Oryzias latipes: one gene and its partner. The protein of the gene in region 2 interacts with the protein of the main gene of each other region in a pairwise test. Links are inferred from orthologs where the notes say so. Each region holds a gene or a part of one and is shown on either strand. Other genes may lie near its edges.

Evidence for each region.
Region 1: the proteins of prkg1 (region 2) and protein FAM124A interact in binary tests that used the Homo sapiens proteins (3 or more experiments, as listed by UniProt). The two-hybrid records come from large-scale screens. The link is inferred for Oryzias latipes from reciprocal best matches to the Homo sapiens genes PRKG1 and FAM124A.

What each region holds. Positions count from the first base shown.
Region 1 is NC_019879.2:5,052,898-5,061,213, reverse strand, and holds part of protein FAM124A, read right to left. Parts: intron 4,570-8,316; coding exon 3,800-4,569; intron 1-3,799.
Region 2 is NC_019873.2:20,152,572-20,161,495, reverse strand, and holds the start of prkg1 (cGMP-dependent protein kinase 1), read right to left. Parts: upstream 5,176-8,924; 5' UTR 4,630-5,175; coding exon 4,325-4,629; intron 281-4,324; coding exon 114-280; intron 1-113. UniProt on the Homo sapiens protein: Serine/threonine protein kinase that acts as a key mediator of the nitric oxide (NO)/cGMP signaling pathway. GMP binding activates PRKG1, which phosphorylates serines and threonines on many cellular proteins.

The sequences.
Region 1 (8,316 bases), on a different chromosome or scaffold from region 2:
ACCGTTCCCTGCTCCCAGGGGGGTGCGGGTTACACCCCGACCGGTCCCTGCTCCCAGGGGGGTGCTGGCTGAACCCCGACCGGTTCCCGCTTCCAATGCCACGCCTGACCCGCCAGAGCTCGGCTCCACGCCTGACCCGCCAGAGCTCGGCTCCACGCCTGACCCGCCAGAGCTCGGCTCCACGCCTGACCCGCCAGAGCTCGGCTCCACGCCTGACCCGCCAGAGCTCGGCTCCACGCCTGACCTGCCAGAGCTCGGCTCCACGCCCGACCCGCCAGAGCTCGACTGCTGGCCCGACCCGCCAGAGCTCGACTGCTGGCCCGACCCGCCAGAGCTCGACTGCTGGCCCGACCCGCCAGAGCTCGACTGCTGGCCCGACCCGCCAGAGCTCGACTGCTGGCCCGACCCCGAGCCTGACTCCGAGCCTGACTCCGAGCCTGACTCCGAGCCTGACTCCGAGCCTGACGCCTCGGAGGACTCCACACCGGACCTGCCTCGCCGGACCGCTCGGCCTCCCGGCCGTCCTCCGGACCTGCCTCGCCGGTCCGCTCGGCCTCCCGGCCGTCCTCCGGACCTGCCTCTCCCCAGACCGCACATCAGTGCTTGAAATGTGTTTCAAGCAGGACCTAAAAACTCCCAAACCCGCCCAAATTATGTCCATCCACCCAAAGCAATTTTTGCCTCCAAAGTCAGAATAAAAACCGCCTTGTTTAGCTGAAAACCACCCAGTATGGCAATACTGCCTCTGCTTGTTGACTTGAGAATCTCTGGACTCACTGTTGACTGGAATATGAACGACCCTGGGAGTATTTCAGGCAGGCAACTCAAGCAGTGCGTTTACCTGGTTACTCCTTCCCACGGGCAGTTCAGTCTAATCAACTCACCTGTTTAGCGTCCTACTTAAGTTCCAGGTGCACTCCAACCCCTCTTCTTCCATTTCTGCGAGCTCTGCGTTCATCACCCCACCCTCCTCCCCGGCTTCCACCTGTGAGCTCCGTTAGGGGTAGTTATTACCCAATGTTTTCTATGGAGATCTTTGTTGTATGTATCTGAAAGGAGCCTTATGCCAAACTTATAGAAACATGGAAATAAATCTTTACTGCATGAGTTGTCTGACTGAGATACCATTGCTACAGGAGGACGGGGGAGGACCAAACTCTTTTACCTGAAAAATCTTATGTCAGTTCAGTGATTTGGGTTTTTTTGGGGGGAGTGACATAATGATGGACGTGAAATTGATTTTAGACATTTTTATTAAATGTTCAGCTCGGGGCCCCTAGATAATTGGGGACCCCAGTCGATCCTCAACCTTTGCCTAATGCTAAGTCCACCCCTGTGTATCTGTGGTTTTCAACCGCTACTGCTGTTACTCTAAGTCAGTTGAATGACAGTAAATGTGTTGCTGCACAGGATTTGAATCCTGATCGTGATGGCCGGGTGAAGTTTCAGGAGAGAGAGAGAGGTTAACTCCAAACTCTTATGTTCACAAATGTTTGCAAGTTTAATTTAGCATAATTATTTAATGGTTTGGACATTTAAATTTTAGGCAGGTGTTTCATTTTTTTCAGTAGCCCCTCTTAAGTTTATTATTGTGATTGCTTCAGTGTCAGATGTAAAATATTCAGTCTGCATAAAATTGAATAGACCTTTTTTTTTAAGTGAAATTAATTTTATTTAAGATCCATTGGCCTCTGTGAATGAATGTGTAATAATAAATGATTAGGCTACCATGTTGGTTGAGGCATGTATTCCAATTGAGTACAAAAACAAAAACAATGCTGTTATTTTGCTTTTACTGGTCCGGCCCACTTGGGATCAGACGGATTGAATGTGGCCCCCGAACCAAATGAGTTTGACACCCCTACTCTAAGTACTAGATCAATTTTTGATGCGTACATATCTTTATATTTTACATCACAACATTTTCCTAATTTCCAGTCCATGCATTTCTTTATTTAGGGAAACCGTAACATGTTTAAACTTTTTGTTTCTTTTCAGTGTATAGGCCTTTCTTTTTGTGTTTGCAGCCTTTTTTCTAGTACAGCTGTGTTGATTCCAGCAGCTTTTACATCTTGTTGCTACATCAGAAATTTGTCTTCAACAAAACTTAACATACTAAGTTCAAGAACTGTAAGGTTGATGGTGTAGTGGTTAGCGCCCTTGCCTCTCGGGAAATAGGCCCTGGCTCAAATCCCAGCTGGGTGCCTTCTGAGTAAATGTTCTCTTAGATTATGTGGAGGTTTTCTCCAGGCAACCCAGCGTCCTCCACAGTCCAAATAAATGTTTTATAGGTAAATAAGTGATTCCAAATTGTTCCTCAAAAACAGCTGGATAGGCTCCAGCAACCCCACAACTCCGAATGGGAGTAAGCAGGTTTAGAAAATGGAAGGATGGCAAAGCATCTTCTTTCATAACATCCTCTGCATATCTCCCTGACTTTAAAGTTTTCCTTTAGTGATGATAAAACTGGTATAGATATTGAAGAAAGTTATTTATAGTACTTAAATTGTGTTTCGCTGGACTGCAAAGACCATACTGTTTTCACAATTCTTTTTTCTTACTGCACCTTTACGCAAACATTTTTCCCTAGCAACAAACTCACTACAATTTGCATGCACCTAGTACCGGGTGAAAACGTTTTTTTGGCATAGGGAAAGACCACTTCTCCCGAGTGATGACATCACAGCGGGAGAAACCGTCTAAAACATAAATGGGCCCAAAATCTGTTATGGCGCTAAAAATAAATAGTTTTAAATCCAATCCAATCAAACAGAGGATGTTTGATTGGCTGTTTTTTTCTATTAGTATATTTGTACTTCTTTTTGTATTTATCTTTGATGGCCCGTGATCTACCGTCAAATCTTTCGCAATCAACGTAATGAGCACCCCTGCTGCAAATAAAAATAATAATGTTATTTTCCATCTAATTTGAACTTGTACTACAGAGCATAGTCCTCTTATTTAGCAGGCTGTGTTTTCAATCCTATGCTTTCCTTCTTCATGCTTAGGAATTCTTTCGCTTTATTTTACCATCTAACAAACATAAATTCATTGATTCAGCAGAAAATTTTCTGTAAATCAGTGGCCTTATGTGATCACATGTTGGCTGTAACTTTTGTAGTGAATTCATGGTGGGAGCACAGCATTTTAAACCAGGTGGCACTGAAGCATCATGCATATGGTCCATTGTCATGATAGATTAGTTTATTGTTTCTCTCAGTGTTTCTCCAATCCCAGTAATGGACTGCAGCCTAATCGGCTTGAACTTTCCAAACTACTTATCTCCTAGCGCCCGGACACACATCCCCTCTGAAACAGATACTCCTCCAACAACGGCCGTTTTGTGCGAGCCTGTTTCCATACAGGAGGGTGTGCTCTTTCACGCTGAAGCATTCCAGCAGCACTTAGTGAAACCAGCAGGACACAGCCACGTTCTCTTCAGGAAAGCTCCATTAACTTTCATTATGACGGGTGGAGTTTTGAGAATGCGGGTCTTTTAAAATAATAAAAAATAAGTACTGCTGAAATATCTGTTGAATGTCAAATTCTTAAATCTTTCCTCTACTCTCACATTTCCCTAACATGGCACACAAAGCAGTGGTTGTCCTGCCGAATGGTAACCACCATGCTCTGCAATAAAACTTAATAGAAAACACTTATTTAAATGACAAAAAAAGGAATAAAATTCAGCAAATACCTATTTCCAAGTTCATGTTTTGGGAGGTATAGTGTCAAGTAGTTTTTTTTCTTTTCTTTTACGGAAACTAGTTATTTTGAATAGGTAGAACAGAAGACATACCTGCAACAGGATCTTGTTTCCATCATAGTCTTCGGTCTGCCAGCGGACCTCACTGATGGGGCTGCAGGGGTGTGGCAGCAGGGGCACCAGTTCCCCAACGTCCCGTACCCTCACCTCCATCACAGCTGACTCCAGCACCACAGGACTGTGGCCTCGGGGGAGCCTCTTGAATGACAGCTGGATTTCCATGTCAGGGTTGGAGTACACCACAAAGAAGCAGAAGTCCTCCTTCTTCTGCGCCACCCGTCGCTGAAGCAGGAGCTTGTAGAGCCGAACCATGTCCATGTAGTTTTCATGAAGACAGTAAATTGTAAACCTCACGATTTCCTTGCCGTAGTGAACCTGCCTCACAGCCCAGAGTGGTGTTCCTGGAGCAAGAGTGAAAAAGTCCTGACTGCAAGGGGTCAGTGGCAGCATTTGGCGGCCATTGCTGACCTTTTCAGTGTGGTGGTAACGCCAAGGTGGCCTCTGCAAAGTGTGGTGCAGCATCAGTATGTGCTCTTCACCGCCGTAGGCCTCTTGGAGGAAGAGGATGACCGCCATGGCTGGCTGATAGGCTGCAGACGGGCCGCTCTGATGGGGCTTCTGCCGCGGCCGCTGGGAAGGAGAGGCCCGTTCGGAAACTCTGAAGAGCTGCAGCTCGGGGTGAACCCACGACAGCACGGCATCAGCAGCCCGCTGCAGAAACTTGCCTTGACCGGGGTCGGCAATGAGGTGAATGCTGACGAGGAACGGGTCCTGGAGCTCACCCATGGATAACTCGCCTCCACCAGTTGATAGAAAAAAATAAAAACAAGAAAGATGTTAAAACGGTCTGCCACTGAGCATCGCAAAAGGTTTGATTAGAATCCAGTAAAAACACAGCAGTAAGGAATAGCTTGGTAAAAAAAAAAGCCTGAAGGTCTTTTTAAAGATAGTAATCCAGATAAAACATTTACTATATGCCTTTTTGACAGGAATCCTAGATCTGTCTGTTTTCTCTATCTTACAATTACCAACAGTTTATCTTATACATTTTCTGTCCTCGTCTTTGTTCCAGCTGTCTCTGTTTCACTTATCTATATCCAACTCCATTTTTCATTGTCAATGTTTACCTCCCCTTCAATCTACCAGGCCTTTGTGAGTCTACTTCTTTGTGGAAGCTCATTAGTGCCATTAAAAGTCATTACTGCAGCCCAGAGCAGCAGCCTCCCAGACCACAACAGCAGAGATGCATTCAGGTGAAGCGTGTCCCTGAACTTCTGACCTGGTAAAGCTCAGGAGCTGGCCTGCTTCCAGGCAACATACATGTTGTGTTTCGAGGATGTATGTCCTGGCATACTCGATCTGCTCTTATCTCCATGTAAGCTCAGGGCCTGCCTTTTGAAGAAATATTCCTGCAGTCTTTATCTGATTTCTCAGGGGAACTGTCCCGTTTAGTTGCTGCTTTGAGAGCAGATACACAGTCTTCTTGTCCCAAGTATAGCAGAGTGTTTGACTGTTGCCAAAATCCCAAAAAGAGAGGCCAGATGGGGATTGGACCAGTTTCATGAATCCCATTAGTCTTTTCTGCTAGGACAAAGAAGTGACATTTCCAAACTGTTAAGCTAATGTTACAATGAAACCAGTATTGAAAAACAGATGCTGCACACCTGGCATATCATTAATACATACAATTATCGCAACTTTTACTTTTTATATGCACCTAGATTTATCTTGGAGAAAATTGTATCTGATTTGATGGGTTTTATGAATGAAAGTGGTGTCACAGAGCGCTCCTCTTTAAAATGTATCATGTTTACTATTTTACTTTTAAAATTAGTTTTCAGATCAATAATCAACTCAAAACGATTAACTTTAATCAACAAAAATAGTTTATTACAACCTGTCATACCACAACAAATGTTTGTTTGAAATTTGTTGTGTTTTGGAATCTCAGTTTCCGTTTTTGAAATCTTTATGGTTCGTTTTCCGATTTTATTTTGAAAATATTTCATTTTCGGGTTTATTATTTTTATTTGCTTCCTGCTTTCTTTCATTCTTGATTTTCTTTTTGCCAATTTCCACACATGCTTTGTGTTAGCCGTCTTCCTCCAAGCATATATTCTTACTAGCTTTTTGTTCAACATGAGATCTTATCTTTGTTGATCCTTGTTCCTGGTTTCTGTTCCAGTGTGCTTCTGTGCCTGGTCAGCCCATCCAGTATTTTATAGCCAATAAAATCTTAGTTTAAAACATGGATTCAAACAACTGACAGATCTGTGCTGATGTCAAGTTTTTATTCAACCCTGTGACAAACAAAAAAATGAGGAAAGTCGTTTGGCAACAGACTAAAATCTGAACCAAAATTCTCATCTAACAGATTTTTTTTGGAACCACTTGGCAAGAGATGTATCTCAAAAGAGTTTTAGATTTCGTCGCCTCAATACTCCAAGCTTTACAGACACCTGCTTAGAGAAACCCGCTGATTAACATCTGCCCCATTTCATTGGAATCAGGGCACATCTACCTGACAGACACCAAACAAAAAGATGAAGGGGTTTTATTAAGGGTGTTTACAGTGCAGCACATTGAGCTATCACTCACACAGCTTGACCTTTTTGCACTAACAGCTTCTCCGCACAAATCGTCTGACACGAAACAGGCCCACCAGGACAGGAGACCTTTGTCCGTGTTGTCTCAATAATGTCTCACCGGGAAAAACGCTGCCTCTTTCTGAGCTCCTCCACCCTATTTTGTTGGGTTTTATTAGTGCTTACACATTTGATTCCCCACTTTTTCACGTCATCTACTTGCCGATCCACGTTTATTGTTACCTGATCTAAAAACGAACTCAAGAATAGGGTTAAAATTAAAGCCACAGACCTTCTGAAATTCTCATTGCTCTTGTTTTGGGCGTTTTTCTTATGTATTTGTATCAAAGCCAGCGTCAGAAATAAGGGGGAAAAAATGGTTGTATTTGGTTGTCCTCCCCCATTTTTTGGTTGTCCTTCGATACCAATATTCAACAGCAACAAAACCTACTAAGATGTCAGTACTTATATCTGTATTTCTTCTATACATCTAATATCAACTGGCTCTTATGATGGACATTTAAAAAACTAAAAATATTAAAAACAAACATTTTACTAAATATTGAAGCATCTGGTTACACAAAGTATTGCCATGTAAATCAAATACTGTCACGGTCAAATGAAAATACTTTATCTTACCCTATAATATATAAGAAAATTGATTAGATTAACCAACACTGTAACCTAATGGGTATTTTTAAAATTTAGAACACTTGTATGGACTGGGACTAGTACAGCATTCTAAATATAAAGTAATATTTATATGTAGTGAAAAGTTATAATATGATAAAACATCTATTTCAAATAAACACATGTGTAAATGATACCATGTTTACATTGTGCGCTGCAGTAGCAGTAAAGACTAATATCCCCGATCTTTTAAGCAAGACATGCAGGTGCAATGTTGTCATTTTTGACAAGAAATTTCAGACAAGTTCCTCAAGGGATATGTCATCATCATCAATGTCCGACTCAGTCTGCTGAGGCTGATGCCGCTCACGTCTTCGGGCGTACTCTGTTCGTTCGGAAGTCACGTGACATTGTTCATGTACACTCGGTTTTATCCTAAAAAGTCGGACGTTGGATTCCCAAAAACTTTGAAAAATAGTTGAAAAATACCAAAATGTTCAATAAAAGACCAGTTTGTCACACGGACAACCATCAGGTTCATTTTTGGTTGTCCTGCGTGAAATCTGGTTGTCTCGGACAACAGGATAATCGCTTATTTCGAACGCTGAAAGCTATCCAGTGACAGCTGGTCAATTCAATATTTAAACAAATGCAGACCAGCTTTGATGAAAAGTGTGTTTTTGGTGTTTTTGACACGTTCTTGTGTCATTTTTCTCATAATGGAGGAATTTGCATTTCTGAGTATTTTTTTATTCAAATCTTTTTGAATCAGGAGCAGAAAATAGTGTGTTGGAAAAAGAGCGTATTTGAGATGTCAAAAATATGCAGGGTGTGCCACAAGCACCCTGCTCCGGTACCATTCTGATGGAGCCATTTGTAGACGACAAGATCCATGGACGTCTTTATTTTCCTCTTTTTAGTTGACATCTGGCCCAAAACTGTACATCTGGATAGCTCTATTATTGTTTGCCATTTTTGTTGCACTGGTAATAGTAAATTGGGGGTGTGAGAAGCTGTAAGATAGCAGGACACCCTGTTAACAGATTTGTGATGGGAAGTGGGGGTTGGGCTTGCCCCGCTCCAGGTGTCCCCCCCACAACTCCTAATGAACTCCTTCCGCTCTGCAGAAACTATGTCCTAGAAAACAACAGGTTTTTGGGTTTTGTCCAAAAATAACAATCATAATTAATAGACCACTGGGAACACTTTTAAAACGCGATCAAAAGATGACTTTAAAACGTCTTAGGTTAAAAGTTTGGAATTTCTTTGTTTCAAGCCATTCTTAACTAACTTTGCCTTTATTTATTTTTTTAGGGCTGCCTGAAGTGGCAACTC
Region 2 (8,924 bases):
AGAGACATGGAGTCCGCAAGATGCTAGAGACCACTTTTTTTTTTTTCGATTTGGTGTTCTTAGTGGTGATTGTTTGTAATGATCTGAGTCTCCTCATGCTGTGTGCTTTTTACCTTCCATGACGTACACCAATGAGCCCACATCGCCTTCCTTTATGATACAGCTGTCCTTTCCATACTCCACAGGGTACATGCAGTCCACGATCTCCTGAATCTGTGACAACTCCAGGTTCTTCATGAAGTCATTATCCAAGATGGCCTCCTTGATCAGGTCTTTGGACCTGGAGAAAGAGTAAACCAATGCAAATTGTTCTCATTTAGGATGAAAAAATGTAAAACTTGTTGGCAATTATAGAAGTTTGAATGAAAGAGAACAGGAACATTAGGAATTAATACATGAAAAAAAAAAACATGTCCTCCTTTTGAACACCTCAAGGTGAAGCCTTTTTCCTTCCCTTCAGTTGCTGAAAGAAGTTGGTGAATAAGAAAATACAGGCCTAAAGGAAGCAGATTGTTGCCATTCAGGGGGCACCTCTGAAAGCCAATTTCTCCTTCAGACAGCAAAGTCATTCAGGCTTTTCTATAGTTGTGTGTTCACTTCAGTCATCCAGCAGGAAAGACAGAAAATGAACTTTATAACTAATGTGCATTTCAGCGATATTGCTTTGTCACGCAGAAACAACAAGCTGGCAATGTTAGATAATATTATGGCAGAAGGGTTTTCTTGAAATTTGTAGTAAAAAGTGCATCACTGGGAGTTTAAAAGGTGTACATGTGTTGACCCAAAAACACATGCGAGTCTGATCATCTCAAATGTAGAGAAATGATCAGAGACGATAAAGATCAAATAGATTTTTGACTGACGGACGGACTGACTGAAGAACAGTTCGTCAACTCTTCAGTCTAAAAAGCTTGGTTAGATTTGACAACGTGTCAGCTCAATGAATGAAGTTGATGTGCCAGTATTAACCCATACCAGTAACAGAAAATACCCACAAACCCCAAATTCCAACTATTGGTGGTGAGGCATGTCTTGCATTTTTCAGTGAGTTCCTATGCCTTGGCAAGCCTTAGTCTCAAAGAGTAAACAACCTGGAAGGTATTTATGGAAAGGTCTTCACAAGCTGCATGCCAACAGCAGGGTCTGCATATCTGCACAAACAATGTCAGGCAACAGAATCGGGGTGCCCAGAATTATTTAGACTCCAGCGCCGAGCTCCGCGTCTGCTTTAAAACAAACTCCTTTTCAGAGTGTTTATGACCGGGTGCTTTATAATCTCACTTCTGCTCGTGTTGAACTTTTAAGGTCACACGAATCCGCGTCTCGGTTTGATTGTGAGTCACAAAACCACTTCTGGAAAGAGACAGCGTGGCTGTATTGAGAATAAACCAAGGAGATGGCAGCATACGACAGGGAGCAGCCACCACATCTGGTACATGGTGCGTAAATACCAGTTATAAATATCACCGGCATCTAAAGGACTCCAGCGCTCTAATATTTTTTTTTCCCCCGTTTAGTTTGGGTTAAATCAAGAATGCTACAAATCATTTTTTTTAAAACTCATGATTTTGCAATTTGTGAATAAGAGCTAAGTTAATGAAGAACTTCCCATTATTGACCCAAGAATTAAGACTTCCAAACAGAATGGAAGGAAGGAGAATAGATTTAGTAGGCAACAGAAACACTACAGGAAATGTGAAATAAAAAGAAGAAGAGGCGTCTTTCATTTGGAAAACATCATATTTAATCCTCTAAAACAAGCAGATTGTTTTCACAGCCCACAAGATTTGGATGGATCATTGATTCCACACTGAGAAAAGCAGCTCACTCAAAGCCATGTTTCTTTACAGGCTTGTAGTCCTGTGACCTGCAGCATCAGCTTTGCATACTTTACTTTCACGGCAGCAGTAAAATCAAATAAGCAGAACAGTGTGCAGTTTTTAGCATTGACAGGACGAGCGTCTCTGTCTATCCAAGATTCAAGTCACGTCATTTCCATTAAATGTTGGAGATGAAAAGGTTCAGAAACAAGCATCCAGTTATTCTGGGGGTTTATACAATTTAAAGCTGCTGCGCATAAAAATATATATTTTTTTAATTTAGCACTTGAAGGTGTAACTTTACATTTTTCTCATACATCTATTTTCAAATATGTCATTTATTCAACAAGAAAATAATTAGATCCAATTCGTCTTAGTGGGAATAAACTTTAACAAAGGAGTCTTGGTTTTTGGGGAGCAACAGTTTTTAAGATGATGCTCCACAACAGACCTTTTTGTGCACATTACACAGCAGAAAACATGTCGAATCAACCAAACAAAATCGAGTTCAAAATCCGCCCCCACCAAAGCTGACCCCCAGTGCTCTGGAAATGTGCCTCATTGACCCCATTTCTGTTATATTTACACCCAGGAGGCTCGAAGCCTTTCAATTCCAATCGCTGCCAAGGTTGAGTAAGCTCCTCCAGCAAGACCCTTACAAAAACATCTGCCTTCCCCTACTTTACGAGAATGAGACATTTGCTTCCATCCACTGAAGTTTAGGCAGAGCAAGTTCAGCCTTCCTTAAAAGGAGAAAATATGCACTTTAAGGAGGAAAAAGAGGAGAGGGGTGGCAGAAAAACAGGAGAGGCTCACAAAAATGAGACAAAACAAAGAGAGATGATACAAAGAGAGCGTTCTAAGGGCGCTGTATGGAAGCAAAAAGAAAAACTATTTGTTGAAATGGAACAGACTTTATGGCTGCATTCCAACATGCAGAACATAATAAAAAAGGTATTAAAGATGGTTGTTTATCCACAAGGGTAATGACATAATTAAGCAGTAAAGCAAAGTTATTTTCTCTTAGACATTTTTCGGATCTGAATAAATCCTTTACACAAAATAAAAAACCCAACTTCACTCAAATGAAAATAAGAAGAAAAAAAAACGTAAACACTATTAAAGGTACAGAAACCACTGATGTAATTTGTTTAGTGCATAAATGGATCACAATTATGACTATTAGAGGAGTAATTAGGACTCAAAATGTTACTCCATACAGGGACTGAGATAATCAAAAAAGTTGTCATGTCTAATGCTTAAATTAGCTTTTAGGCAATGTATGAAATATAGTCCTATTAATGGTATTAGCATGGTTATAACTAAGTATTTGTACATTTTTCAAAAAAAAATTTGAATGCATCACTATTTCTGAAGGAGGAAACACATTTGATATTTGTGTTTGGTTTTTTTTCTTGGAAATGTAAGATCCAGAGGGTGAGTTGGCCAAATCTTCACTGATTTACTGAAGTAGCCTGAAGAACTAAAGCTAAAAGCTACTACCTTGACATAAATGACACATGCGGTTACAAAAATAAGCAGGCAGGGGAACAGAAAGCATGGACTAATCTGGAGAATAATCAGCAGCAGCTGGGGGGGTTGCTAACAGAACACAGGTGTGACAGAAGCAAAAAAAAGGAGACCGCCGAGCAAATCAAACGCAACTGACATCAAACAAGACCCAGACAGCAGAGCCAAAGTCACAAACCCTCACATGCTGGAGCTTTGAAAAAAAATACAAATGTAAAACACTTGGAGCAAAAGGGAATTAGGAGATGATCACTCAGCTTTGACAGGAAGTCTGAGACGTCAAGGTTATTTGGAAAAAAGTTATAATAATAAAGTATTATTTTGTTGTTTGTGACATACAGTATATTTTGGGGTTTTGAACCTGACTGTCTTCAGATTAAATGCATTTGTCAGCTGAATAACAAACTTCAAGTGACGCAGAATTCATTATGAGTTAGAAATGTTTTTATGATTGGAAATATCTATATGTCCAAAATCATAGTAACTTATTTTGTGTGTTTTTGCCTTTTGCTTCAGGTTCAGATATCAAAGTGAGTGGTCTGTTTCCATGGAAGCTTGTGAATAAACTACAATCCAGCAGCTGCTGAAAGTAAAACTTATTTTACGCTCAAAGGCGGCAAATCTTCATGTAAACCCAAAATTATCCCTGTAGTCCCTCAATAGACTTTTAATTGTCTCGTGGTGTCGCGGGGGATTTCTGTTAATTAGCCTTTGCTTGCCTTGCTGCCAGTATTGATAACACTCACTACTTAATGTATTGGTTTGAAAGCTTGATTTCACTTTTTCCTCCCAGTCTTGCCTCTCAGTCTGTAGACGCACGTCTGTGTGCGTGCACGCGTGCGCCTCTTCCTTGCGCTACAGGTGAAGTACCTGCTGCGCAACACGAACGCACAAGAATCCCACAGGTGTTGAAGGACGAACGCAAACACGACAATGGATGTGAATACTTGACCAAATGAAAGGTGGACACCTACTGTGGGCTTTTGGGGTAGAAAGGCAGGGTGACGTGGCTAAGATCCTGGATGTCGAACGCAGTGGGTTCTGCAGAAATAGCCTGCCTCTTCGTGCGCTGCTGCTCGTGCAGCTCATTCTGCTTGTGGACCTGTTGGGTTGCCGGTTTGATCACAGATCGGTACTTGTCCAGTTCGTTCTGTAACCTCTGGATAAGTTCGTCTTTCTGGTCGAGCTCCAGCTCCAGCTCGTCAATAAGCGCGTCCCTCTGGCGCAGCTCCTCGATCTTCTCCTGGAGCGCGTACTGGAGGTCGCGCAAAGTGCCCATGTTTTAGCGCCGACGTTTCCGAGAAGTTTAGCGCGCGCTTTGCTGCCTAGTCTTCTTCACCCTCGCTCCTCTTCCGAGTGGCGCGGAAACTTTCTCCGGCATGAACAGTTCTGAGAGGTCGCGGCTGCTGTGTTGACAGCGAACGACGGGAAACGGAGGACTTCCACGGTGAACGTGAAAGCATCACAGGCACAATCACGCAAAGTTTAATGTCCCCGTCTTCATCCCTCTCTCTCTCTCTCTCTCTCTCTTTCTCCACCTCGCGCGCGCAGTTATGTGACAGCGTGGGATCGCCTCCCCGAGTGCGATTTGGTGAGCAGGGCGCCTGCAGGAACCGCGCCACAATGCAGTGTGCCGCTCCACAGAGAGCTGCGCTCGTCTCACATGATTGAGAAAGAAGTCAGTGAGGAAGCCACATGGGCTCTCATACCTCAGCGACGCGCCCCAAGGCTGCCTCTGCGCGCGCAGAGGAGAGCGCAGCCTTAATGAAGTTGAAGGTGATGGGAAATGAACCTCAGCGCACAAATGAGTCACTGTTTGTTTTGGGTTGGATTGCTTGTTTTAAAAGGTGAAAGATATTTGGAAAATATATAAATAATTGAAAGCTTAATTAATCAGGATGATTAAACTTTGCTTGGCAAATATTCACATTTTTGTGGTAATTACAGCAAAGGTATAGTTCCACCAAGCAGATTTAGTCGTATCAAAATGCCAAAGATGCTCATGACTCCACATCTAATCTGGTGCTGTGTGTGCGCTCTGCGCGCCGCTGGTGTCTGACCACTTGATCCCAGTGAGTCATCTGAAGCTCAGGGAATCTGACCCCACAGCGCCCGAACTCATGTAGACGAGGACGATCTGATGGAATTGGGGAGCTGCTTGCAGCAGCAATCGGGTACCGCTGGTGGGCAGGAGGAGAGGGGGTGGTGGGGATTTTTCTTGGATAAACCTGGATGCTAAGAACTGTCTCCCAAACAGCTGGGATTGGAGGCAGATGGTCCATTAACAGACCACAGCTGCCCTCGTGTGGCGGATTTAAGGAAACCACAGGACGAGAATAAAATGATCATCTGAAATAATGAGTTTTCAGAAAAGGTTGTGTTTTTTAGGATTTGCTTTCCCAGTAAGATTTGAGGGTTCATATTCAAACATTTCAAACCGTGCTTTGTGTTACAGATGAGGAAGACTTGTTAAATCGGCGCATATATCTGCAAAAGTGTGTAAAGTAACTCATTTAATAATTAAGCAACAGTGTTTATCTTCTAAATCAGGGGTGTTAAACTCATTTTCACTGAGGGCCACATCAGCATAGTGGTTTTCCTCAAAGGGCCAGATGTAATGAAAATAAACCTAACTACTCTCCTTAATGTTAAATAACTCATTTATTTCTTTATTATAACTTTTTAAAGTGACAATAACAGATAGAAAACAAATGTTTGCTTGTTACTTTAGCATAAATCCTTTTAAATTTGATTCTGCCAGGTTAGGTTATATGGACAGTGTTTATGTCCTAATGTATAGTTGCCCATTCCAATATTTTAAATCCAATTCCCCCTAGATATGAAAAAATACACACCAATTTTAAGTTTTTATTTTAAGAAATAAAAAACTTTTACGCTCTCGCGGGCCACATAAAATAACATGGTGGGCCACATTTGGCCCGCGGGCCTTGAGTTTGACACATGTGCTCTAAATGGATATTAATGCTTTTTTTTCTATTAAATAAACAGATGAAAATACAGTAAAGCTTGCTTGGGGATACTGCAGGTGCATCCAGGGTCTACATACCTCAGAAATCCAGCCCACTGTCCTTCAAAGCTCCTCAGTGCTTCAGATTTCACCTCTCTTGCCTTGCAGCTCTGCCCGTTTCCTAGGCGGATCAATAGAAACAGAATCCGCTGCTTCTTTTGGCTGTAATCTGAGAAGACGAGCCGGCCGCCGCCTGGTGCCACTCTAATGGGAAGGGATCACACTGAATCTGACCCCACTTCAGTGGACAACTTTCTCCAGACATGGCTGGCACCTTGGGCTTGCAAACACACCCGTGGGTTCATTCAACCTTTTTCTGAGAAGCATCCAGCTGTGCAGACTAAACAATGTGTATTATTTCAACTTGTTTTTTTTTCTGAAAGAATGAGAGAGCTGCCACACAATCACTTGAATCATTCTTAGGGGAAAACCACTAATTTTGTTATTTCTTACGGCTGTTTATTTGTTCATGGTTGTGAAACAACTCTCTTTTCAAATGTTGTGTCAGAAACATAGATGGATAGATGTATTGTTTCATAAGCCTTTTGTTTCTCATTAAGGAATAAGAACAACGAGAACTTTCTCTGTTTACAAATAGCAGCATATTACAACGAATTAAAATCGGAAATGTTCTGGTCTCCCTAACTGAATTAACCCCAGTGTTTGTTGCAGTTGTGTAGACAGTAATGTTGCTTGGATGAGTGAATGTTTATAGTTCTATTTATTATCATGTTAGAGTCTTCCAAATGGAATTAGCATCCTTTATGAAACTGGAACGCTTTATTGGCACAGACATTTTGGGGAAGGTTTTGATTTTAATATATGAAACTTAAGTTAAGCAACAAACATGATAACCAAGGTAAATGTCCAGGAAGAAGTTTGTGCAAAGTCCTCACAATTTATGTGCAAACATGTCAGTGTGTGTACTTGTTCATATGCCTTGTCAGACAATTTCTGATATGATCACCTAACGCGTTGAAAAGCGACGGAGTACCAAAGAGTCTGCCCTCAAAACCTCTGATAAATATGGTGTGTGTGTGTGTGGGGGGGGGGGGGGGGGGGGGGGGGGGGAAGTTTCAGGCTAGAACTACCAGGATGGAACTAGAGTGATTTAGCCACAAAATAAAGCAGCACAAATAAATGTGTGCATTTTTGTACTTGGGAAGACCACCTCCTGACTTTGGTAGGACACTTTTAGGAGTATCAACTTAGTTTTAAGGTGAAGGTTTGATTAATCATGGTGGACTGAGGAATGCATTGTTTCTGGAAAGTACTTGAAAGACCAACATGCATATGTGTGGGAGTGCACTTGTCTTTGTTACCAAGGTATGACCTTTTTTGGTTTAATCTCTGATCTTCAAGAGTTCTTACGAAAGCTATAAAACAGTTCCTGATGTGGACGCAAATACTTTTTGGTGTCCAGAGTACATTTAGGGCCTTGAAAGTGAATGAAGGTGAGGTCAAAGGTGAGATGAGAATGAAGTTGGGATTTGGAATGCAAGAATGGAGTGGGGAGGGGCATCTTTCTCAAAACACACACAAAAAAGTTCTCAACTGAATAACAAAAATGACAAATGTTATGATTGCAAAAGAAAAACATAATGTTAAACTTTTTACATGAAAAAACAAAGTAAATATGAAGTCAAAATGTACAATATCAAATATCTTCCATGGATTCTCGTGAGCTTCAGCACTGCTGAAACTCAAAATGAGATGGTGTGAGCTCAAAGAAAAGGTGATGAAAGAAGCATATGGTCAAGCAAAGCCTTTTCTAATGGAGTATTAAATATCCCTAGACATGCACTTTGGGTCCTCTGTATCCAGCTACTAAAAGCCAATAATGCATAGCACTTCCTCCAGCCTGTGTCCTGTGGGACTGTCATGATGGATCTGATCAATTAGGAGCTCTTTCTGGAGCTTGTCTTGGAGCTGCGTCATCGCCCTCAAGAATGAAAGTGCTGGTCCATTCATGGCAAAGCTCTCAGATTCCCGCTTGTGAAAAAAAACGATTTTAAAGGTGTTTTTTCAACAACAAAAAGGGGGACATTGTGAAAAGAGCAGTGTTGCCGTGTTTGTGGGTGACAGAGCGTAAAGCGATTTTTATCAATACATCAATCTCCACACTAAAGCATACTCCTAATAGCCCAGCATCGATTGGAAGCTTTCCTGGAAACATATTTTCATTTAACCAGGGGGAAGAAAACACACATGAAATGCAAAGAGCCGCCTGCTGAAACTGTCTCTTACCAGTCAGATTTAGGATATCTCCGAAGCGCCTGTCTTGACAGGTCCTGGTGCGTCTGCGGTTCCGCCGAGATGCCCTGCGCCCTGCGGGTCCTGGGTCCAATAAGTTGTGCGCTGGGGAGAACAGACTGACATTTGTGCAGTTTTCTCTTTAATTCTTGAATCTCATCTTCTCGGTCCGCAAGCCTCCTCTCCAAGTCCCGTATCCTCTCCTCCTTCAGCAGCAAGATCTTGGCAAAGTCCTCCTCCAGGTCGCTCATGTTGAAATTGTGGCGTTAAACTTTTGGTTCCTAAATCTGCGC